4 linked regions of the Caenorhabditis elegans genome follow. The protein of the gene in region 1 interacts with the protein of each later gene in a pairwise test. Each region holds a gene or a part of one and is shown in the gene's direction. Other genes may lie near its edges.

Evidence for each region.
Region 2: the proteins of T28C6.7 (region 1) and C54E10.6 interact in a two-hybrid assay, tested with the Caenorhabditis elegans proteins (one large-scale study listed by BioGRID).
Region 3: the proteins of T28C6.7 (region 1) and utp-14 interact in a two-hybrid assay, tested with the Caenorhabditis elegans proteins (one large-scale study listed by BioGRID).
Region 4: the proteins of T28C6.7 (region 1) and mig-15 interact in a two-hybrid assay, tested with the Caenorhabditis elegans proteins (one large-scale study listed by BioGRID).

Annotation. Positions count from the first base shown.
Region 1 is NC_003282.8:8,826,211-8,830,826, forward strand, and holds the start of T28C6.7 (Kinesin motor domain-containing protein), read left to right. Parts: upstream 1-1,593; coding exon 1,594-1,743; intron 1,744-1,790; coding exon 1,791-2,004; intron 2,005-2,308; coding exon 2,309-2,784; intron 2,785-2,838; coding exon 2,839-3,231; intron 3,232-3,338; exon of another isoform or gene 3,339-3,478; coding exon 3,479-3,572; exon of another isoform or gene 3,573-3,730; coding exon of another isoform or gene 3,731-3,922; intron 3,923-4,063; coding exon of another isoform or gene 4,064-4,231; exon of another isoform or gene 4,232-4,252; intron 4,253-4,371; exon of another isoform or gene 4,372-4,517; intron 4,518-4,616. Other genes in the region: T28C6.8 (Membrane protein BRI3), read right to left, coding at 3,731-3,922, 4,064-4,231.
Region 2 is NC_003283.11:18,807,544-18,810,637, reverse strand, and holds C54E10.6 (Protein MNN4-like), read left to right. Parts: upstream 1-1,908; 5' UTR 1,909-1,976; coding exon 1,977-2,157; intron 2,158-2,370; coding exon 2,371-2,528; 3' UTR 2,529-2,569; downstream 2,570-3,094.
Region 3 is NC_003279.8:5,422,455-5,430,420, reverse strand, and holds the start of utp-14 (Small-subunit processome), read left to right. Parts: upstream 1-1,963; 5' UTR 1,964-1,980; coding exon 1,981-2,132; intron 2,133-2,184; coding exon 2,185-2,385; intron 2,386-2,430; coding exon 2,431-2,530; intron 2,531-2,611; coding exon 2,612-3,009; intron 3,010-3,060; coding exon 3,061-3,178; intron 3,179-3,191; exon of another isoform or gene 3,192-3,223; coding exon of another isoform or gene 3,224-3,982; intron 3,983-4,027; coding exon of another isoform or gene 4,028-4,057; exon of another isoform or gene 4,058-4,148; intron 4,149-4,223; coding exon 4,224-4,743; intron 4,744-4,802; coding exon 4,803-5,059; intron 5,060-5,112; coding exon 5,113-5,259; intron 5,260-7,215; coding exon of another isoform or gene 7,216-7,635; intron 7,636-7,966. Other genes in the region: F27C1.2 (Copper transport protein), read right to left, coding at 1-138, 186-254; atp-3 (Oligomycin sensitivity conferral protein), read left to right, coding at 615-674, 798-1,110, 1,155-1,252, 1,429-1,644; F27C1.3 (Dauer Up-Regulated), read right to left, coding at 3,224-3,982, 4,028-4,057; F27C1.4 (uncharacterized protein), read right to left, coding at 7,216-7,635.
Region 4 is NC_003284.9:10,422,534-10,430,323, reverse strand, and holds the start of mig-15 (Serine/threonine-protein kinase mig-15), read left to right. Parts: upstream 1-1,749; coding exon 1,750-1,794; intron 1,795-2,172; coding exon 2,173-2,340; intron 2,341-2,635; coding exon 2,636-2,833; intron 2,834-2,880; coding exon 2,881-3,121; intron 3,122-3,741; coding exon 3,742-3,885; intron 3,886-4,084; coding exon 4,085-4,472; intron 4,473-4,560; coding exon 4,561-4,681; intron 4,682-4,925; coding exon 4,926-5,483; intron 5,484-5,792; coding exon 5,793-5,879; intron 5,880-5,981; coding exon 5,982-6,092; intron 6,093-6,175; coding exon 6,176-6,202; intron 6,203-6,512; coding exon 6,513-6,995; intron 6,996-7,042; coding exon 7,043-7,378; intron 7,379-7,455; coding exon 7,456-7,534; intron 7,535-7,582; coding exon 7,583-7,790. UniProt on the Caenorhabditis elegans protein: Involved in cell migration and signal transduction. Important in several developmental processes including epidermal development, Q neuroblast migrations and muscle arm targeting.

The DNA of each region.
Region 1 (4,616 bases):
GAATTATTACAATGACCTGAAAAGCCTAGAATTTATGCTATCAGTAATGCTGATTTTTCAGAAGAACTGATGAGCTTAATAGACACAAATGCCTTTTGAAAATAGAAAGAGAACTGTGTTTCATGGGTTACCAAACTTAGTAAATTTTCTTCTCGATGCTGTTTGATCTATCTTGACCCAAAAACTTTAGTAAGACAGAAATTATTTTAACAAAAATATCAGTTGTGTGCTTTGCTTTTTTACATCGTGCTCTCATGTACTGACAGACAATGAGACGTGTTCTTATAACGTTTTGTTCACAGTTTTCAATGCTTACTTTAACTTTTCTGAATACACACCGCACAGAAAACTAATGATTTAAAATGGCCTACATGAAGAGTTCCAAAACAGAAAATAAAAATTGAAAAGTCATGTTTTTTCATGCCAAAATAGTCATTTGGTTATTTTTACCATCGATTTCTTTTTTGTAATTAATATCCGTATTTAATGTCACTAATATTTCACCGAGCTCTCCCATTATTTGGCCCATACACTATGTCAATGGTCACCGCGAAAGTGAAATGCGCCACCGCAAACGAATGTGCGTCAGCAGAAAATCAATAACGCGGGTGCCGTGTTGGTCGACGTGTCTCTCGAAAGGAACTAATTCGAACCAGTTTTTTGTAGAATTTCGTGTTAAAACTTCATTTTTGATTCTTCAGGAATTAAATTGCACGTAGATTTGTAACTGTTTTAAGTCGTTTCATATATTCTTCCTTATGTTTCAAATTTAGTTATATAACCTATATTTAAATTGCTGTATTAATTCACAGTGCTAGCCAAAGAAGCAACCTTTTTTGGTTTTTGATATTGTTGAGAATGATTAAAATGAATTCCGAAACTATTTCCGAAACTAATTCAGAAGCTAATTCAGAAGCAAATTATTTTTACTTTTGTATACTTGTTCAAATAAGTTAATTATATTCACTAGTACCAAAAAAAGCGGAATTTCTAGAGTATATTATTATTATAGTTAAAAAATGAAACAGTAAATGAAAATTATTTTACTTCAGCAACCTTTAAATACAAAAATAAATATTTTGTTAGTTATACTTCTGATAACTAGGTTACGAGTTATACTTTTGAATAATTTGCAACATTATCAAAAAACTGAAAGTGAATATATTTTTGGCATGCTCCTTATACCTAATCAGTTTATTAACTTTAAAAAACGATTTTTCATCCATTATAAGACTTCTCAAGTAGTGTCGGAAGATTAAAAAATTTTAGAAAAAAAAGGATGTGTTCGGAAAACTTTTTGAAAAAAAAACGTGAGACGCATATTATTGCGTGAGATTAAAATGTGAGCTTTCCACGTGGGTTCAGCGCCTCTCCGTTACGTGGAACGGGGTTTCTCTGTTTCTCTCTCCAATCTCTCGCAGAAAATTTATTCTGGATTTACAAATTATTTAAAAAGTTTTTGAATAATTTTACGTCATCCCTTTTTTTAAACTATAATTTTCAAATTTCTTTTCTTCTCATTGTTTCTTCACGTCCTTGAAGTATACTGTCACTTTTTAAATACGTTAAATACAAATATAATACTTTTCAGAAATGGAGGACAAAACCTCCAAAGAAAAAGAAAAATCGGCCGACAAACGGATCGATGAACGGGTTCATCAACAACTGGTGTATAAGGATAACCGAATTATAGATTTAAATAATGTGATATTGGATAAAGAAAGGCAAATTTTGGACTTACAGGTGAGAATTATTCTGTTTCTGTGGTTTCATATTGGAGTTGTATTTAGGAAAGAGTTCGTGAGCACAATGAAGTTGCTTCAGTCAAAAATCAAGCAATGAGAATTGTTCAACAAAAATTTGAAGAAATGAATAGAGACAAGAAGGATATGTCGACAGAAACTGAGCCTTCTTTGATGGCTCATTCCTCAGTACCATTATCAAATTCAAAGAGTGAACGGAGAGCAAGAAGTTCATCTCCAGGTCATGTCATTGCACAGAGAAGTGAGTAAAGTTTTTTGGTTAAAAAAAAATGAAGTTGTCATGCACCATTTCTGAATATATATGACGTTCAGTTTTATTTTTAGAATTTTTTTATTATTCCCAAACAGGAAAATTGCTGATCTTAGACGTGTTAGGACAACTGTAACCTACAGTAATCTAAAGGTAGCTTGCCCAAGTAATTTGTATGCTCCTCTTTTTCTTGAAAATAAGCTCGAAAATTGAGCACACGGCTAGAAATTGAAAATTGTGACGATATAAAACTTTTTTTTAAAGTTTAACGGAATTGAATTGATCTATTTTTCAGAAACGATGGTCTCAAGTTCATCGGGAACCTTCTCTCCTCCACCATTGGATCCTCCATTTGATCCATCTAGCAAACTGAGCGCTCTTCCAGATATTGACGGAATCCATAGGAAACATCAAAGAAAACGTGTAACTTTTGATTTAAATCCAAATGGTTCTTCAATTGGAACATCAACATCTTCCAATTTTCCATCTACATCTGTTTCCCGCTATCCCACCATTTCAATGTCTTCTTCAACTTCAGACGCTCTCGAGTCTGCTTTAACAGAAGCTTCATCTGAAAATGCTTTACTCCGTCAGCAAGTTATCGAACTAAACTCATCTGTTGAAAAAATGAAAGCAGACTATGAATCTGAAATTCTCAAATACACAAAAGAGGCAAAAACTGCTGGACTCAAGGCAAAGGTTGCGGCGACTGCAAGAATCAAGGAGTTGGAAACTACACTTGAAGATATCAATGGAAAATATGAAGATGAGGTAAGTGAAATAGATGAATATATCATTTTGTATAGAAACGTTTCCAATTTTCAGAGGGATCGTCTTCAAGAAGAAGTTGACACTCTCCGATCTTCTCGAAATTGGGAAATAGAACAAAATGCTCTTCTTCGTGATCAAGTTGCTCATTTGAAAGAAAAAGTTCACAAGTTGACAACAGAGTTAGATGCTAGTGAAGTAGCCAAACGATCCTTGAGCTCAGAAGTTGACGAATCTAAAAAGCTGATGGAATTGATGGTTGAAGATCTCCTTCAAGCTGAATCCGCTATCAACTACAATCAATGTCAGAAAAAAGCTATTTTTGAGGACATTGACCGATTGAAGGATGCCATTCAAGCACAGGATAGATTTATTGAAGTTCTTGAAGCTGATATTGTCATCTATGAGCAACATATTGGACTTTTGAGAGAGAATTTGGGTGCTTCACAGGTAAGATTTTTATTTCCTGTTGAAGCTCATTTTTTCCATAAGAAAATCTTTAACATCTCGAAATTTCTAGTCTAGAGAAAAGTCAATTGAAATATCTATAAAAAAGAAAAAGTATTATATTTATTAACGGAAAAATTCTGGAAATATACGTTTCAAAGTTATGTAATTAATCACACTGAAACCCGTAGTTTAATTGACCAAAATCAAACAGAAAAAGAAACTGAAAAATATTTCAAATAATTTACAGGTCGATCATCGAGCACTGATAAAATCAAAAGCTTTCGAGACGAAACTATTGGCTTTGGAACGCGAAAAAGAGCAAAGTGACAAGAAATCAAATGGTGAGACGATAGGAGACTTTTTTGTAAAGAAAAATGGGATAAGTATCATTTAAAACTTCTGATCAAGTATCAGAATAATCGGAAATATTTACTTATGAAAATTACTTAAACGTAACAAACCCCTTTTGAAACCCTGGCGAAATCAAAAATTCAAAAAATTAATCCACAATTGGTGCAGTTGATAGTGTGGTGGAAACTGTAGAATCTGTGGATGATGCTGTCATTGCCGGATTACGATATGCAGCAAAACTAGCTGGAAGAGCCGTTTTTGTAGATTCGTACAAACGGAAGTTGTAGCCCAATCCGGGAGTTCTTGGTAAAATAGCACGGGTTTCAGTACGTTTAACCACCTGCAACATTTGATTTATTAAAAACGAGATAAGACATTAGCTATTGCAGAACACCAATACATTTCTTTAGAAATTATAACTAAAGCTCTCATTTTCATAAGAACTAAGCCTTCTAATTTTATTTTGAAAGAAAAAACTCACATCACATTGACATTGTGTGCAATAGTATGTTTTCCGTTTCATGCAGCAGTAGATTCCACACGGAAAGCAAAAAATTGCGTATAAAATTGCTCGCCAACTGAAACGGCTTTTCACTTTTTTCTGAGTGCAAGCCGGACATGACAGATTAGAAGATGTAGTGGATGACATGATGGTTTTGAAGTTTTACATCTGAAATTTAAGCTTTAAAAACTTTTTAAAAAGTGTTTGAAGAAGGTGTGCAGCAGTTTCATATCTGGAAGCTCATACGTGCTTCTCCGTTTATGAGAATAAATTATGCCTAAACTCACTTGCCACATCGAATCGTGTTCCAATAATGCAAAAAAAAATTAATGTGGGACGCAGCGTGTCAATAATCGATGGGAGAGAAAGGACAAAGTATCCGCTCGACTGCCACCTCACTGTTTTCGCCTAAAGTATCACAATCAACTAAAGATAGACATAGAGAGAAACGGCACGCAGATATACAGACAGACAGGCAGACATATAGAGAAATTAGAGAAACATTGTTTTGTGTTGACAATACAAGAGGTCT
Region 2 (3,094 bases), on another chromosome or scaffold:
TGGAAGGTGGAATTTTGAGTTAAAACTGTATACTTTTGACAGTTTCAACAATTTTTTTACAATATGCAAATCGAACTAAATGTTATGATCTCTGCAAAACCTTCATATTTGCAAATAATTTTTTTCAATGAATTTTTTTACTCAGCGTTTTTTACTTTCTCACTTAGAAAAAAATATATACCCTAGCAGGGGTTTGAACCTGTGACCTATTTCCCCAAAGGCAAGCCTGTTATCCACTGCGTCAACCCCTTCCTTCCTGGCTACTTCTCCGGAATTGCGCGCGCGCACGCATGGCTAAGTGAGTAAGAGGCTTGGCTATGGAAAAATAGGTCACTGGTTCGATTCTCAGGTAGGCTGTTTAGTTTTTTCTAGGTAAGAATTTGGAATTTTCATGGCTTGTGAGCTGAAAATTGGAGTTTTTAGCCATTATTTCTTCTTTTTTTCTAAAAAAAAGAATTTTTGAAGTCAATTTTAGTTTTCATATTTTAGAAAAATAGTCAAATGTACACCAATGCTTGAAAACTAGGAAAAAACTGAAAAATATCCGGAAGAGTGCTTGAAAGTGAAAAACAAAGGGATTAGTGGGAATTTTTAATTTTTTCGCAAAATTTTTCTCAATTTTCATAAACAGCTGTGCTAAAAATCTGGAAAATGCAGGAAATTGAATGTGCTCGGTGGGAAAAATTAGGAAACATGAATTATTCCTAAAAAGTAACAAATAATAAGCTAACACGCAATTATACACATTTTTTGCTGCTTTGGTGGCTTAAAAATGACGTAAATATAGCTTTTATTCAAACAAAAAAAATACATTTTTTCTAAAGATTGCGAAAAAAAAAAATTCTGGAAATTTTGAAAATTTCGAAAAAAATTTTTTTTGGAAAATTTGAAAATTCAATTTTTTTTTAATTTCAGGATTTTTGCTTAAAAACCCACAAAAATATGCTAACTCCAATTTTTATGCAATTTCCCTTCCTGAAAATCTAATTTTCCACTTAAAAACCACACAAAGAACACAAAGAAATCCAATTTTTTTTTTGGAAAAAAAAAAAAATTCTGAGATTTTCGCTCTTTTAGCCTATGCTGCATAATAATCCTAGAAAAATATCGGAAGCCTGACAAGAAGTTTCCAGAAAAACGTGACAATTTCAGCTTCCGGGGGGTTTCACACATTATTTTCTTTTCTCTGGCTATATTTTCGAGTTACATGGGAAAATGACAAATTTTTAACTAAAAGAAAGCAAAAAACAAATTTTTTTTTGAGAAAAGTGATGTGCAGCAAAAAATGCGGAAAATTTGGTTTTTTTTTAACTTTTAATTTTCCAAAAAACGAGGTTTTGCGTTGAGTTTGGCAATTTCAAATTCAAAAATTCGAATTTCTCACCTAGAAAAACCTGTATACCCCAACCGGGGTTCGAACCTGCGACCTATTTTTCCAGAGACGAGCCGCTTACCCACTGAGCCATGCTGGCAGGCGCGCGGTGCGCCACTTTTGCCACGCGGTTCCCATGTGGCGCAGTGGGTAGGTGGCTTGACTTCGGTGAAATAGGTCACAGGTTCGAGCCCCGAACTGGTTTACAGGTTTTTCTAGACGAGATTTTTGAATTTTTTAGTTTAAAACTCTGAAAATCGACACGAAATCGGGTTTGCTGATTTTTTTTTCGAACTTTTCATTTAAATTCCACCAATCTTTGGGTCTTCACAACCATAAATTTAATTTCCCGTAAATAAATTAGTTCTCCTTCCGAACCAAGCCACCAGCTGACACCAACGGCTGTGTTGCACTTCTCCCCGTCTCGCACCGTCTGCGTCTCCGCATGCTCTCTAACTCTCTCCCTCGGAGGCTGAATCCCAAGCCATCTGCTGTCCGCAGAGTGCTCATTCCTCACTTTTGTATTGATTTACTGAAAATTTGACGAGTTTTCGCCAGAATTTTGCTGGATTTTCACAAAACTTCCTGTATTTTCAGCCCAAAAATGTCTGAAATCTCCATAAAACGTGCACATGAAAACGAAAAAGATGCAGAGGAAGATATGGAGCCAGCAACTAAAAAAATTAAATCTGATGACGTCACAGAGGAGCAGGAGAAGCCTGAAATTGTGGAGAAAGCTGAAAAAGTGAAGAGCATGAAAAAGGAAGAAGCTGGCAGCCTGAAATGTGAGTTTTTGAGCAATTTTTGAAAAGAAATGGGTTAAAATAGACTGAAAATGGATGATTTTAAACTTTTTTCTAAAAATTAAAATTTTGAAAATTTTGATCAAAAAAAAAATTTTTTTTTGAAATTTCGAAAAAAAAAATGTTTGAAAAATTTACAATTTTTATTTTTTTTCCTATTCTTCATCAGAACATTTGAATCAAAAAAAATTCCAGCACCACCCAACGATGAAATGGAGTCAGAATTCACACATGTGCTCAATGAGCTCTCAAAACAGAAAGAGACTATCAAAAAACTGCTGGACGATTTGAGAGCGGACAATAAGAAAAGGAAGACACACAATATTAGAACGATTTTCCAGAGAAAAGATTGAAAATTTACTTTTTTTTTGACTATAAATATTTATTTTGCATATTTCAATTTTTTCAGTTTCAACAAAAACCGAACATTTTCAGAGCTTGCGACTATGAAATTCGAGTTTAGGAGAGTAGATATACCAAAGACAAATTTAAAAAAAAACACAGAAAAAAATTGTGCCACAGTGCGGACTCGAACCCCGGCCTTCAGATTGGTAGTCGTCGAAAATCCCACTGAGCCATTTGAGCATAATTTTTAAAAATCGCGGAACTACATTTTTTCAACAGTTTTTGAAATTTGAAAGACTTATCATTGAGTTTTCAAAGTTTTAGATACCTAAAGTTACTGGAATAAATAAAAATTCTCAAACTTTGATACTTGGAAATGAAATGTAAATGAAAATTGCTTCCGTGAGAATTCGGAGAAGTTAATGAAAAGCAACAACAACATATTACCTTAACATTTTTCCATCCAAAAAACCGAAAAATTAAACACCTTTTGTCAAAATTCAGTTCAAAAATAAGCTTTAAAAACTTTGAGATCTAAAAATTCAGATTTCTCGCCTAGAAAAACCTATTGTCA
Region 3 (7,966 bases), on another chromosome or scaffold:
ACCATGACCTGCGTGTGATCCATGAGACGAATGTTCATGATGTTCATTTTGATCTTTTTCATCGGGCACAGGAACCGCTTCTACTTCTTTTCCAGCGAGCTCATCGAGAAAGTTGTCTGCAGCTTGTGCGTAAGCACTCTGAAATGCTAAATGTTAGATTTTTGAAGCAACTATTAAAATTAAACCTTATTTTCTGCAGCAGCAACCACCAAAGCCACAGCCAACCATCCTAGGATGGCCAATTGTGTACCCATGATCTGAAAATATATGACGTAACATGAAAATCAATAAAAATTGCGTTTAATATGACTAGAAGTTATACAAGATAACAATTTCAACTGCAGCTTCAACATTTTGCGACCTTTTATACGCAACCTGTCATGAACATGCATTTTATCGAGATGGAAAGTTTGCAAACAAGAAAACTCCACAAAAAAAATTGTCTAAAAATTGCAGCACCAAATGCGCTCTACTGAACTGACAGCCGGTGATTTGGCTGCGTACCTTGGCTTATGGTTAAGAGAGTGATACTCAGCCAACGACCGCCCTTTTTCTCTTGAAATTAGCTTTCAGTTCTTTTTTATCGAATTTCAGTTAAGTTTTTGTACTATTTTATGCGAATTTTTATCCCAAGCAAGCCTCTTTACCTATATTTGACTATTCTTCACGAAAAAGTATGTAAAAATCCACTCTTTATTATTTTTTTCTTAATTAAATTTAAAAAGTTGTTTTAATTAATTCGTTTGCTTGCATACATTTATTAAATTTAAATTTTGCCTAATTTCTTAATTTTGCAGGTAATGGCGCAACTCATGAAACGCGGATTCTCCACGAGCGCTGCTCTCGCTAAGGCTCAGCTGGTGAAGACCCCGATTCAGGTTCATGGAGTCGAGGGACGTTACGCCGCCGCTCTTTACTCAGCCGGACACAAACAGAACAAGCTCGACCAGATTTCCACAGATCTGAACAATGTTCGCTCCGTGTACAAGGACAACAAGAAGTTCCAAGAGTTCGTCCTCGACCCAACTCTCAAGGCCAACAAGAAGAAGACCGCCATCGAGGCTATCTCAACTAAATTGGGGCTTACCAAAGAGACTGGAAACTTCCTTGGTATTTTGTTAACGTGTAATTACAAATTTAATTGTAACTTTCAGGACTTTTGGCTGAGAACGGACGTCTGAACAAGCTCGAGTCAGTTGTTTCTTCATTCGAATCCATCATGCGCGCTCACCGTGGAGAACTTTTCGTTCAGGTACTTTTATTATAACTGCCAAGAAAAACAATGTTTCTTTTGAAATTTGTTTTCGTAAAATTATAAAATATGAATAGCGAATGTTTTCAATACGTAGAAATGGAAATTTTCAAGTCTAAATTTTAATCCTGAAGATGCTCGTACGTACCGTTTTAAAAACTAAAAATCATTTTCAGGTCACCTCCGCCGAAGAATTGAGCTCATCAAACCAGAAGGCATTGTCTGATGCCCTTAGCAAGATCGGAAAGTCTGGACAAAAGCTCACGGTGACTTATGCCGTCAAGCCATCGATTCTTGGAGGACTTGTTGTCACTATCGGAGACAAGTACGTCGATCTGTCGATCGCTTCCCGTGTCAAGAAATACAAGGATGCCCTTGCCACCGCCATCTAAATTTTTCCCAAAAAATTTAGTTCCTCATCCCGATTTTCAATCTGTGCTTCAAACCAGTTCCCTGCCTCATCATACCCAATCATTGAAGATGGTGTTTTAAAGAGTTGTTTAGTAATCGGTTTTATGTATTGTCTTCATTTTCTAGTGGGTCATAACATCAGCAGTGTAATTGTTTGTTCCAGAATTTTAAGTTTCTTTATTGTACTCTCAACAAATAAATAAATAGATCTGTGAAAAATTTCAATTATATTGACCTCGTTCTGTCGGTTACCATTTACTTCTTAATAATGTTTTGAAAGAAAACAGAATAAAATTATAGAAATTTGAGAAACAGAAATGAGTGATGACTCGGATCTTGATGACGTTGCTCATCAGAAGCTTCTGCAATCAATTCACACACCTGGAACTGTAAAGAAAAATCGTCTGAAGAAAGCATCAAAAACAAAAACCGACGCAACTTCTCTTCTATCTCATCTTACAGTTTCAAGGTATTTGAAAAACAAATTTTTTTTTAAATTTAGGATTTTTGCAATTTTACAGACCTTCAACCAACAAAGCCAAGCAAAGTCTCGGAATTGGTGGCCTAGAGTCGACAGAAAAAACAGGAAAGAAGCGAAAATCGGAAGCAACAGCAGATGAAACAACTACGAAAAAGAAGCTGAAAAGCAAAACATTAATTCCTCTAAAAGATGTTGAAGCTCGAAAGGAGATTGAAGGAAAAATTGCGTTCACTGATTTGAAGTGAGATTATTGATTTGTGATTTAATTAATAAGATATTTTTACAGAAAAGAAGTGACACAAAATTGGACAGAGCTCGTTCAAAGCAACCGCGTCAGTGATCAATTGATCTTCCCTCTCACAAAACCGGATGGAATTATGTGGGGTGTAAGTTGTTGCTTCCAAATTAAACTGTTCTAAAATTTAATAAAAGTGGAAAAATTGCTCCTAATAATTATTTTCGTTCAGGACGAGAAAACCGAGCCCGTACTGACCGAAAAGGAGATGGAATTGATGAAGGCTACAGATATTAAAATGGCAAAAGATCGTCTTTCACAAATGCAACGAATGCGTGCTATTGTTGGAATCCAAGAGGCCAAGAATCGATATATGAAGAAAATCAAATCGAAAGGATATCATCGAATTCTAAAAAGAGAAAAACGAAAACAACTTTTAAAAGAGTTTGATGATTTGGTTGCTCGTGATCCATCCGCTGCTCATGAAAAACTTGCCGAAATGGATTTACAGCGAATCATGGAAAGAGGAAGTTTGAAGCATCGCGGACAGAATCAGAAATTCAAACAGATGCTGGAAAAACATGCTAGCCGAAATCCAGAGGTCAAAAAATTGCTCGATGAGCATTTGAGGTTAGATATTAATTTTGGAACAAAAATTTTAAAATGGGAATATTTTTTCAGAATGGGAAGAGAATTAAAAGCAAAAGTCGCAACTACCGCTGAAGATTCTGATGGTGAAGCTCCAACTTCAACGGAAGATCCACAAAATAAAAAGAAGAGTATTCATGAGTTAATCAAGGTAAGTGAGACATAAACTACTAATTCATTAGACGGATTCAAGTTCTCAATAAGCTTTCTTCTTATCTGCACCGAAAACATCTTGATTGAGACCAGCCAGGGTTTGGTAGTTCGGGTCATGAGTTGCAGCCTTAGCACCATGTTGAGCAGGAGCTTTTGGTGGAGCTGGTGCACCATTTCCTCCTCCTCCACCTCCACCAACACCACCTTTTTGATCGAACACGTTGTTATTCAAACCAGCAAGAGTCTGATAGTTTGGATCGTGTGTTGCAGCCATTCCAGGTTTACCTCCTGCTGCTGGAGCCTGTGGTCCTGCTCCACCACCACCTTTCTTATCGAAAACATTATCATTCAAGCCGGCAAGAGTTTGATAGTTAGGATCATGAGTTCCGGCCATTCCTGGTTTTCCGTCCGGAGCTTTTGGAGCAGCTCCACCACCACCACCGCCTTGTTTTTGCTCAAAAACGTTATCGTTCAATCCGGCCAATGTCTGGTAGTTGGGATCATGGGTGTCAGCAATTGCAGCACGATTTTTCGGAGGCTTTGGAGCTCCGGCAGGAATCTTTCCCTTTTCCTTGGCTGCTGCTTTTTTCTTTTTTGCCGCAATCGCATCGTTTTTCTTCTTTTTACGACGCTTTTCATCATCCTCATCATCGTCATCATCATCACCTCCAGTAGTTCCTCCAGTTGTTCCTGTTTCATCTGAGTATTTTTTCTTTCCTTTCGACTTCTTCCCGCAGTTCACCAGAATAGCTGCCGGAACTGTCCAACACAGAGCAAGTTGCAGAAGTATCATAAAAATTGGCTGAAATTTTTATATTTTTTGGATTTTTTAGTTTTCAAACAATACCTGTAAACCAAATAACTCCATGCTCATCATTTGTGATATAGTTATCGATATATCCACAACTGTAGTTTGAGATCGAAGAAATAAAAATAAAAGAGTTATCAAGTAGAGGATTTTGAAAAATGATGATTTATTCTTCACGTAGTAACATTCTATTTTTTAAAATTTTATATTTAAAATTAATTTTAAAAAATTTCAGGATGCCGCCCAAGAAGCGGAGAAAGAATCCAGAAAACAAGTTGGCACGGCTCTAGTTGATACTTTCCTCGAAGACTCCGATGCTCAAAAAGTGACACTTGCTCAGATGCGAGCCAAGAAACGACAAGAAGCTGCTATAACTCGAAGTATTTCAGCGAATACTGGTGCATCACGTGAAAATCCTCTATTCGACGTCGATGACACTTGGCAAGAGAAAGAAGATGCGAAAAAGGCAAAGCAGAAGAAAAAGAAGCTACTAAAAGCGAAGGAGTCAGCGAGAAAAGGAACAATTGGAAAAGTATCATATGTTGATAAGAATTATGATCCGAAGATGGAGGCTAAACGTGCAGAAACTTTTGATGAAAAAGTGGAAAAGGCAGTGGATTCAGCTGGAGTGCATGCCGCTGAAAAACGACAAAAGGAAATTGAAATCGATCCGAGCAAATTTCTAGAGCTCAACACAAACGACTTGACACAAGTTTCGTCGGATTTTGTTGAGAAAATGGATCAGTTTGATGAAGGTAAGCTTAATCTTTTTTTTTCTTTTTATTAACTATATTCCAACGATTTTTTCCTGCAGAAGCCGCTCAAGTTATCAATGAAGCTTTCAAGGATGATGACGTCATTGGAGATTTTGAAGATATGAAAGAAGGAGTGAAAGAAAAGGAAAAAGTTAAAGATGTAGATCTCAATTTGGCCGGATGGGGCTCATGGGTTGGACCAGGAATGACTGAGAAGAAGCGACGCCAAAACTTTGTGATTAAAGCAAAAGAGAAGAGAAGAAGGGACGGAGAGAGAAACGGAGTAATTATTGCTGAAAATATGACGGCTAAGGATGTAAGCACCTGATATATCTCCTAGATTTTTTAATTGCAAAAATGAGCTTTCAGGGTATCGGAAAGATCCAGCCACGTTCTCTACCATTCCCCTACTCCCGAGTTGAAGACTATGAGGCTGTGCTAAAACAACCGTTGGGTCTTGAATGGAATATGGAGAAGATGCGAGATGAGTTGTGCAAACCTGCGGTTGTTGTTGAGGTAAGCTTTATTATATTTTACAGTTTTATTGAACATGAAAATTATGTTGAAACAAAGAGAAGGAGAAGAGAACCGTGAACAGTGGAAAAAAACGAGTGAAAACAAGGAAAGAAAGGCATTGGACTGGGAGTGTGTGATGGGTTGGACCTGAATTGTTTCAAACAAAAAAAAAGTTGATAAAACAACAGATGAAGTGGTTATAAGTAGGGAAAACATGAATAATTTAAAAATAATTAGTTTTGATCATCCGAACTAGACGAAGATCTTGCGAAGTCAATGACATGGCAACGATTCCTCCAAATCAACGAAAACGTTTTCTTCCGTGGTGATTCCTCGAGCGTACTCGTACATTATGACATACAAAGCATGATCATCGAGCATATCGTAGTCTTCCTTCTCGTCCAGTTGTTCCTTGGAAGATGCTTCCACCTCTGCAGGCTCTAAAGTCTCTAGCTTCTCTGGTACAGCTGGTTCTTCTTGTTGTGGAACCTCTACGAGTTCGACTGGAGTAGTGTCTTCAGTAACCGCGTTGACAAGTGTTCCGACGGTTTCAGCTGCAGATGTGACCATTTCTGATACGGAATTCCAGATGGAGGTTGCATAGGAGAAGTAAGACATTTTGAGAACTTGTGGTTCTGAAAATGAAATAAGTTTTAGTCATTTTAGATAAGGAAAATATGAATAGAAGGGCTGAGGAAACAAACACGCAATTTCATAATCTATTGTGCCAAAAAAGGGATAGTTACGAAATCGAGGTAATATGGAAATCAAACTACATAGAAGAAATTAAGAACATAGAGCCTAGGTAAAAAAAACGACGGACGACTGAACACCCAACGTATGGCAGGCTGCCAAATAGGCGTGACTGTGCACAAAAACGCTCGATCTGATGTAACAGTATACACCTTTGTAATCAATAACTTTCTGGCGGCTAACGAGACCATTTGATTATTATTCCAACATAGTAGAGGAAGAGAAGAGACAATATAGAGTCCCAGAATATGGATCAATATAATAGGTTTTTGAGAGTTGGTCTTTTTAAATTTGGTTTAGAAATAAGTTTCGATAAGTTTTTAAAGAATACAATTTTTAAAATCTTCATATTATTTAAAAATGTAAATCGAAAATAATGAAAGAAGAAACTGTATATATTAGAGAATCGAGTAGTAGTAGTGTTTAGAGAATTAGAGATAAAAAAATACAGTACCCCTATGAGACTCAGTGCAACCTTGCATATGCTCCCCTAAAATCATATGCAACTATTTGGTTTTTTTTAAAATCAAATTGCACAATATTTCGAATTTTCAGCCGAAAGAAAAATTCAAAAATTCTTGCAACTTTTGTTCACAATAAATTTTTTCAAAACTGATTTTGATATAATTTCGGAATAGGGACCACTTTTTACATTTGAGACAGCTCTTTTCGATTTTAAAATATTTAGAAAGGTGTATAATGTCACAAAATATAAGCGAACATCTATCATCTGTGCATATATATGCACTGGCACGGGAGACAGGAACCGAACGGCACATGTGACGAGTTCATTTTGATGTCACAAGCTTTTCCCTTTTTCGTTAAAAAAAAAGTAGACTATAAAAACAAACAAACACTGTTCTAACAAGAAAATATGCAAAAATGAACACGCAAACTGGCGAATGTTGTTCGAGTTGTAATAGGTTGCGAAATTAACCGATAAGAAGCTCGATATTCTGTTATTAATAGATTTTTTACATTAAGTATTGCCCATGATTTCTAACACCTCAAATCCCTGTTGTCTTTGAAATTTCTTGTCTGAAGTAGTTTTTATTGCCAAGGACATTGTAGAATTGATCACGTACGAAAGTTTATTGTGAAACATTGTGAAAACCGGTAAATATTACCGAAAACATGACATAAATTGGACAGTAATATTAAAATAGACCCGAACATGTATAGGATTTCTTCGTTCATCCCAGATCATTTGGAATTCTTCATCCACTCGTAGTTGTTTTGCACCATCTCAAATTGATTGTGCCTGATTGGACCCGTCTCGTCTGGATTCTCATGGATCACTTCCCATTCGATCGATGTATTTGGTGACGATGCTCCTATCGCCTCCTGGTGAACATCCTCTGTCGTCTCCTTTTTATCCTCTTGAAGATCAGACGACGCCGCCGCCGCCCCTTGTTGCTCCCATGAGAAGACTTCAGAAGAAGCCGTGGCATCCTCTGAGCCAGATCCCCACTCGAGAGCAGTCTGACTGATTTGTGTTAGAGCCTGTGTTGCTCCTTCGGCAAGTGCAGAAGCTCCTCCAACAAGGTTCGCTGCCTGTTCTGTGACTGCTGGGACGACGGTTGTGGACATGAAGGTGTAGAGTCCATTGACGATGGAGTTCATTGTTTAGTTGTAGTTTTCTGAAAAAAAATAATATATACAAAGAGACAAGTTAGACCGGCAACGGAAGGAAAAAAGAATGAAAGTGAAAGTTCGAACGGAGTAGGATTTACAACAGGATTGACTTCATAAAAATTTAAATCAAGTGCATGTATTTTATCCTAGTGTACTATCTGCCTAGATTTTTTGAATCTAGGTGTAATATTTACGGAAAAAAAAGAAAATGAAGAGACAAAGTAGATATATCTCCGATGTGCTCTTTCTACCACCAGAATGCGAATGGCAACTAATGACTAGTAACAGAATAAGAAAGACGAGAAGATGAAGAGGAACG
Region 4 (7,790 bases), on another chromosome or scaffold:
ATTTTCTTGATCATTTTTACACACCATGTAATTATTTTGCTACTTCATATTTTAATTCAGTATCATAAGCTATAAAAATTAATGGTACTTGTGTATTATTTCCCCTTAATTTTTTGAAATTGATTATTAAATAAAAACGTGTGGAGTTTTTTTTTTCATTTTTAGGCATAGTAAATTACCATTTCTAAATTAATAAGCTACAAAGATATTCAGAAAAAGATATAGCTTATAAGCTGTCAAAGCAAAGCATTCGGTGCAGGACATGGAAAACTTTTAAATGAAAACACGTGTTTTGAAATTAACATATATTTCAAAATATGAATTCTACATCAGAACATGTTGTGAGCAATTCAAAATTTTCAATAAATAATAATTTTGGCAATAGATTCATGTTGTAAATTAAAAAAATCAGGCAATATATTAATATTTTATGGTTTTTTGATACAATCCTTTTTTTCTTCTGAAAAAATTGTTCCCGAAATGGATACTATGTAGGCTAAATAAAACGTTTCCACAAGAATAGTTTTTGTTTGTAATTTAAAACCTCTCCTTCTTTTTGCAACGTCTAAATAGGAAATATACCTCAATGTGCCATAACCTTGTTTTTTTTAGCCATGAGCGTCACTAGGATCTAGTGGTCGTAGAGACAAATACCATCGCTAAATCATTGTTAATCGGCCATTGGAGAGAATATTCGTTAAATTGATACATCTACCCCTTACTCGATCCCCCTTCATTTATTCACCATCATTAATATCTATTTAGAAGATAAGCATCATTTCATCTCAAATCAATATAATAAATGTAGATCACCAAACAGAGGCATCCCGCTATTCTCACTCAGTCGGCAGCTATATGTGATGCTGCTGTTGCCTTTTTGTGTGTCTTCTTTGGGAATGGACAGGCGCTGTTTCCATTCTTCTCCACCAGCGTCTTCTTCATTCTTCGTCCGTCCTTCATCATTATTCGGGAAAACGAGCGGGGGAATGAAATGGAGAGAGAGAGAAAGGCGGACGTCGGAGGCCTTCTTTTCGGAATCAAGGCGAATTTCTTGCGGCCTTCGATCATCCCTCACTCTCTTTCACAACCTTGTCTGCTTGACCCGATGATGTCTTTTGACCGCTTGTCAATTCAAATTTGCACGTCTTGATTGCTATCAGAAAAATTTAAAATTGCGAGCATTTTTAGGAAATTTTTTTTGCAGCAACAGAATATGAGTTATCCTATTCAACGGTTGTCTGAAACTTAAAAATTGATAATTCTTTCCAACATTATAAGAAAAATATATTGTTTTTGCAGAAAAAACACTTAAGACTTTTCTACTTTTTGAACACATTTAAACAATTTGTGCATTCTCATTTTTTTCCTCTATTTCCCGGCTGTGTAACAATGCTGGACGCGTCCGTCCTCCTTGTGCCGTCCACTGGTCTTTCTCCGACGTCTTTGATGATGCATTCCTTATCGATCTAATTTTCTTTATCACAACATGTGTTTTTTTTTCTGAAACAGAATGGTTGCTTCGTAATAATCTTGGAAACAATATTTTATTTTGAGTCTTTAGATGAAAACAATATATTTCTGTTTTTGTTACTTTTGATATAATCTGAAAATTTTTTTCTGTTTTGTTATACTTCCTGTTTCTTGTAATTTACAATAAGTGTTTTTTTTTTCAGATTCAAGTTAAATTCAAGGAGTCATTGTGTGGTTTAAGTGTCGGCTTGCTCCAAGCCGCTCACAGCACCCAAAACCATGTCGTCATCAGGACTCGACGAGATTGATTTGAATTCTCTAAGGGTGAGTATTCGTGACCACCCATACATCAAGTAGAATGCGCACAATGAATTTACTGAAAAATGTTAATTTTTCTATTCAGTCTGGGTTATCGCCCGTGAAATTAATGGTGTTTCTATAGAAAACTACCTTTTGAAGTTGAATGAAACAATCAATTTTTGTCAGCTTTAAATTTTTGTCTCAAAACTAAGAAAAAGTGTATTTCGCAACATTCACACACACACAGACGAAGTCCCACTTTCTTTCTTCGAGTGTGTGTGTGTGGTGTAACAATTTTAAAAAATCATGTTGCTCTCTTCTCAGAAATATTTACAGCTGAGTAGGGGAAAGAAAATGCGAAACTACACCAAACAACACGGAAATCACAATGATTTTTTTCAGGACCCGGCTGGAATCTTCGAGCTAATTGAGGTTGTTGGAAATGGAACTTACGGGCAAGTGTATAAGGGTCGACACGTTAAAACAGCGCAACTTGCTGCAATCAAAATTATGAATATCAACGAAGATGAAGAAGATGAAATTAAGTTAGAAATTAATATGCTAAAGAAGGTATGTGTTTTGGTTAAACAAAAATATTCCTTTCAAAATTCCCCAAATATGAGAAATGGAATTAAACCTATTTTCGAATTATTAAGTTGTCCAGAATTTTAAATCAGTTAAAAAGAAAAAAAGAAATATCTAATTTCTGATAAATACATTTATAAATTATATTTGTATGAATTGATGAAAACTTAAAAACGAAAGCTATTTTGAAGACAGTTTTGAAATAGTGTGAAAAAGAAATTTCAAAAAAAGGAGAACACATCGATGAGGTCTTACACGGAAGAATCAAATTGATTTGCAGCACTCCCACCACCGGAACGTAGCCACTTATTATGGTGCTTTCATCAAAAAGCTGCCCTCTTCGACCGGAAAACACGATCAATTATGGCTGGTAATGGAGTTTTGTGGAAGTGGTTCTATCACCGATCTTGTAAAAAACACAAAGGGAGGCTCTTTGAAAGAAGAATGGATTGCATATATTTGTAGAGAAATTTTGAGGGTTTGTCTTTACCGATTCTCAGACATTTTCAAATGTATTTCTTATAGGGACTTTACCACTTGCATCAAAGCAAAGTTATCCATCGTGACATAAAAGGTCAAAATGTGCTTCTTACGGACAGTGCTGAGGTGAAGCTGGTAGATTTCGGAGTATCTGCACAACTTGACAAGACAGTTGGAAGAAGAAACACATTTATTGGAACACCATACTGGATGGCTCCCGAAGTTATTGCATGTGATGAAAGCCCTGAAGCTACTTATGATTCACGTTCGGATTTATGGTCTTTGGGTAAGTAATGACGATGTGTAATATAAAAAGTTTTTATAAGGCTTGGTATCAGCATTTCACTGATTTAAACACTGAATTTAGCAACGCACCCAAAATATATTTCTCAATTTTATTAATTTAATTCTACTTACAATAATAATCAAATTGAGGTAAATTGCAGAAAACTAACGCTGATTTCCTTCTCTAGAAAGCTGACAACAAAAAAATATGGCTATCAGCTTACTATTTCGAGAAACTAATTTTTTGGAAAACTTTAGCTAAATGAACACTGAAAACTAAGTTCTTTTCTAATTTGAAACTTTTAATATACATATTCAACGTCATTTAATTTCCAAAAGTGTTCTAGTAGAGCTATAGTCTGTTCTTGAACATACTATTTTGATGTTTTTTCTCACTATTCCAATATTTGCTCCGTCTCCTTCAATTCCCTCAACATATCTCCCTCCGGACATTTTCGTTGTGTTTGTGTCTGCTTTCTTTCATTATTTGCATTTATGTGTAAATGGGCACAAAATTCGTAGTACAACAGCATTAAAAAAGCAAAAAAAAACCAAACAGGGGTTTTGTATAAATGGAAAATGACTCATGGAGTTTCAAAATCTTATTGTTATCCAATTTAGGAATCACGGCATTAGAAATGGCGGAAGGTCATCCACCGTTGTGCGATATGCATCCGATGAGAGCGTTATTTTTAATTCCAAGAAATCCGCCGCCAAAGTTGAAAAGAAATAAGAAGTGGACCAAGAAGTTCGAGACTTTTATTGGTGAGTTTTTTTGCAGATAATTTTTCAGTCCGATTATATGAAACAATAAATTGTAAAAATGTGTCGCTATTCGTATTTTTGAAACAGTTTTGCAAATGGGTTTTTGCTGAAATTTTAAGGAAGCACGCACGGGCAAATAGAGTACATTCCAAACAATATTTTCAAGTCTAAATGATGCAGGTCAAGTTTTAAATTTCAGAGACTGTACTTGTGAAGGATTACCATCAAAGGCCCTACACTGGAGCCCTACTTCGTCATCCATTTATCAAAGAACAACCACATGAGCAAACGATCCGGCATTCAATCAAAGAGCATATTGACCGAAATCGGCGGGTGAAGAAGGATGATGCAGACTACGAGTATTCCGGCAGTGAAGATGATGAACCATCTCCGAACAATCGTGGTCCTTCAATGGGCATTCGAGATGACTCGGAGAGCAGTTCAATGATTCCAATGGATAACACATTGCGTAAAGGCTTTCAAAAATTGCAAGAGAGTAGTCGTGGTTTTGCAGAACCAGGTGCTCAGCAGCTGAGGAGACTGCCCCAGCAACCAGCACCAGCTCCATTCCAATATCAGCAGTCTCGGTATGTCACCACTTTCACTCAATACTTTTCACAGTTCAGATTTGACGTTGTTCTCTTAATAGTTTCATTGTAAATTTGAAACCTTCAGATACGTTGAGCCAAGACGAGAATCATCCGAAGTCAAACTGAGGGCTGTTTCATCTAGAGGAGCTGCCGATGGTCCACGTCATTCGCCAGCATCAAGGCCACGGCCCGTGAGTCATCATCAGGTTTTGTTTTCTTACCTTCCTTTTAATATTGTCTAAACAGTCATTCAGTACTAATAATATACTAATAATAACAAACATTAACAAAGTTGAAGCATGTAGGGTATGAACGATTCAAATAACCAGTTGAGGTTTTTTTTAATAATAAAAATAATGGAGGCTATACAGAAAAAATGTTTGTTTACCTGGCTTAAAAGTGTTTGTAGTGTAGTTTTAAAAGTTTTAAATAACGTAAATAAATTTTCAGCGATCTCCACAACAATCCCATCCTGCAGCCCCACACTTGGCGGATTTAGCAAACTATGAAAAAAGAAGACGATCGGAACGAGAAGAGCGACGGGAAAGAGAACGTCAGGCTCACCACGCTATGCCGATTGCACGTGTTTCTGCAAGTGTACCTGCTCCACAACAGTCTCGAAAAATGTCAGAACCCCTTCTGATCACTCATGTAAAACCAGAAGATCTTGACGTGCTCGCCAGTGAGCTTTCTAAAATGGGCGGTCATCACAATGGACGCAGTCGCGAGGAGAGCATGAGCCCACCGCCACCGGCGCCACCACCGCGTGAGGCATCGATCTCGTCTATCACAGACACGATTGACGTGGGTGAATTGGATAATGGAGCAGATGCGGAGTGGGACGATTTGAAGGACATTATGATGAACGGAGAAGGCACACTGCGCGGCCCGAATAAGCCGCTTCCGCCAACACCGACAGATGGCGAGAATACACTTGTGTCAGATGTGCGTCGCAATGGAAATGGAAATAGTGGCCATGGGGCTTACAAGGGAAAGAAAATTCCAGAGGTTGGTAGTGTGAGATGAGCGAAAATATATACTCGTTTCTTTATTTTTTTTCAATTATCTAAATTGGTGCATTTCAAAAATCGATAATATCAATAAGATGCTCACTTTAAAAATTAAATAAATATGAAAAAGCCAATTAAAAAAATAAAAACACTACTGTTTCTGTAGCAGCTATTTTCAAAAAATTATAACTGGCAATAACATAAAGGTGCTTTTAAAATAAAAGGAACTGCCACGACGCCGGGAAAATTTGAGATAAGCTTTCACAACTCAATTTAAAACGTATTTAAAAAACAGAATATTTTCTAGATTCGCCCTGGAATTATCTCTCTTGACGACGACGACAGCGACTCGGACAACGAGGAAGGCAACGAGCCCCTTATGTTCAAACCAATTGTACGTTGTCCCTTCTCTATTTTTTTTTGGTTTCTCTCGGCCAATGTTATACATAGTGTTGACGGCTCTATACCACTCGTGAAACATCTTATTTGGTTCCAGAACGCCTCAAGCTCGCGCGGCGCCCTGCCAGATCTCTTGCCCAAATCGCCACAACTCCGCCGTCAAATAAATGACCAAACACGCCAGATGAGTGACGATCGTGCAGATGAGGTGAGTGTTTTGATTTGAGAATAATATATGTAGTGGAAACCATAAATTTGAACGATAAAACATGTAATTTTATAATTATGTAGAGCGCCTCTCTATTTGGAAGTTTTTATGTAAGTTACTCGATTTGAAATGACAGAATTTGTTGTGATTTTCCGATTTATTCCCCCTTTGGTTAAACTGTTGGTCATCTTTTCAGAAAACAAATCATCCTGTGTTTTATTGTTTTTGATGCTGGTTATTCAGTTATTTTAATTTTCGAAAGATATGTAGTTCTTCTTTGTTGCGGTTCTTTTTTTATTGTTTCAATGTCTTTGGATATATTTTTGATGATCAAAAATCAAAATACAAATTTTTGTTGAAGTGATTATATTTTGTCAGAAGATAAATTTTAATAAATAATAAAACATGATTTGATTTCAGCAACCAAATGGATTCCAAAACTCTGACAGCCGTTCATCAATTCAGCATTCATTTTCGAATCGTGATCGCGAAAAGTCATTTGTTGGATATTTTGGTGGTGGCGCCGGAGCCGGTGGTGGCACAGTAAATCGACCAGGGAGACCGCAAGACATTAACCAAGTTCAAGTTAATGTGACACCAAATTCTAATGGAACACCAGCTGAGAACGATGCTCCAGAAATCAGGAAGTACAAGAAAAAGTTCAGTGGAGAGATTTTGTGTGCAGCTCTCTGGGGAGTTAACTTGCTTATTGGAACAGACAGTGGACTTATGCTTTTGGATCGAAGTGGACAAGGAAAAGTTTACCCGCTCATCAGTCGGAGAAGGTTTGATCAGATGACGGTTCTCGAGGGACAAAATATTCTCGCAACAATTTCCGGAAGAAAAAGGAGAATCAGAGTGTATTATTTGAGCTGGCTCCGTCAGAAAATTTTAAGAACAGAGGTATGGTTTATAAACATTTTGGATATATCTAATTTTATGTCTTATAGGGTGCTGGAAGCGCCAATACGACTGAAAAAAGAAATGGATGGGTTAATGTTGGAGATTTGCAAGGAGCCATTCATTTCAAAATTGTTCGCTATGAAAGGATAAAGTTCTTGGTAGTTGGTCTAGAGTCGTCAATTGAGATTTATGCGTGGGCACCGAAGCCATACCATAAGTTCATGAGTTTCAAGTCATTCGGATCTTTGAGTCATGTTCCTTTGATTGTCGACTTGACAGTTGAAGACAATGCAAGACTCAAGGTTCTTTATGGATCGACAGGTGGATTCCATGCAATTGATTTGGATTCTGCAGCGGTCTATGATATTTATACGCCAGCACAGGTATGATAACTTCAGAATAAGAATTGAAAACAAAGATGAATCATTTAAATGTTAGCCTTTTATTTTTAATTGTTTAGAGCGGTCAAACTACGACTCCACATTGCATAGTTGTTCTTCCAAACTCCAATGGAATGCAACTCCTTCTCTGTTATGACAGTGAGTTTTCAAAAATAGTATTCACTTCTTTATCTATTCTTATTTCAGATGAGGGAGTATATGTTAACACGTACGGAAGGATGACAAAGAATGTAGTCCTGCAATGGGGAGAAATGCCAAGCAGTGTGGCGTACATTTCAACGGGTCAGATTATGGGATGGGGCAACAAGGCGATTGAGATTCGATCCGTTGACACTGGCCATTTGGATGGAGTGTTTATGCACAAGAAAGCTCAGAAGCTGAAATTCTTGTGTGA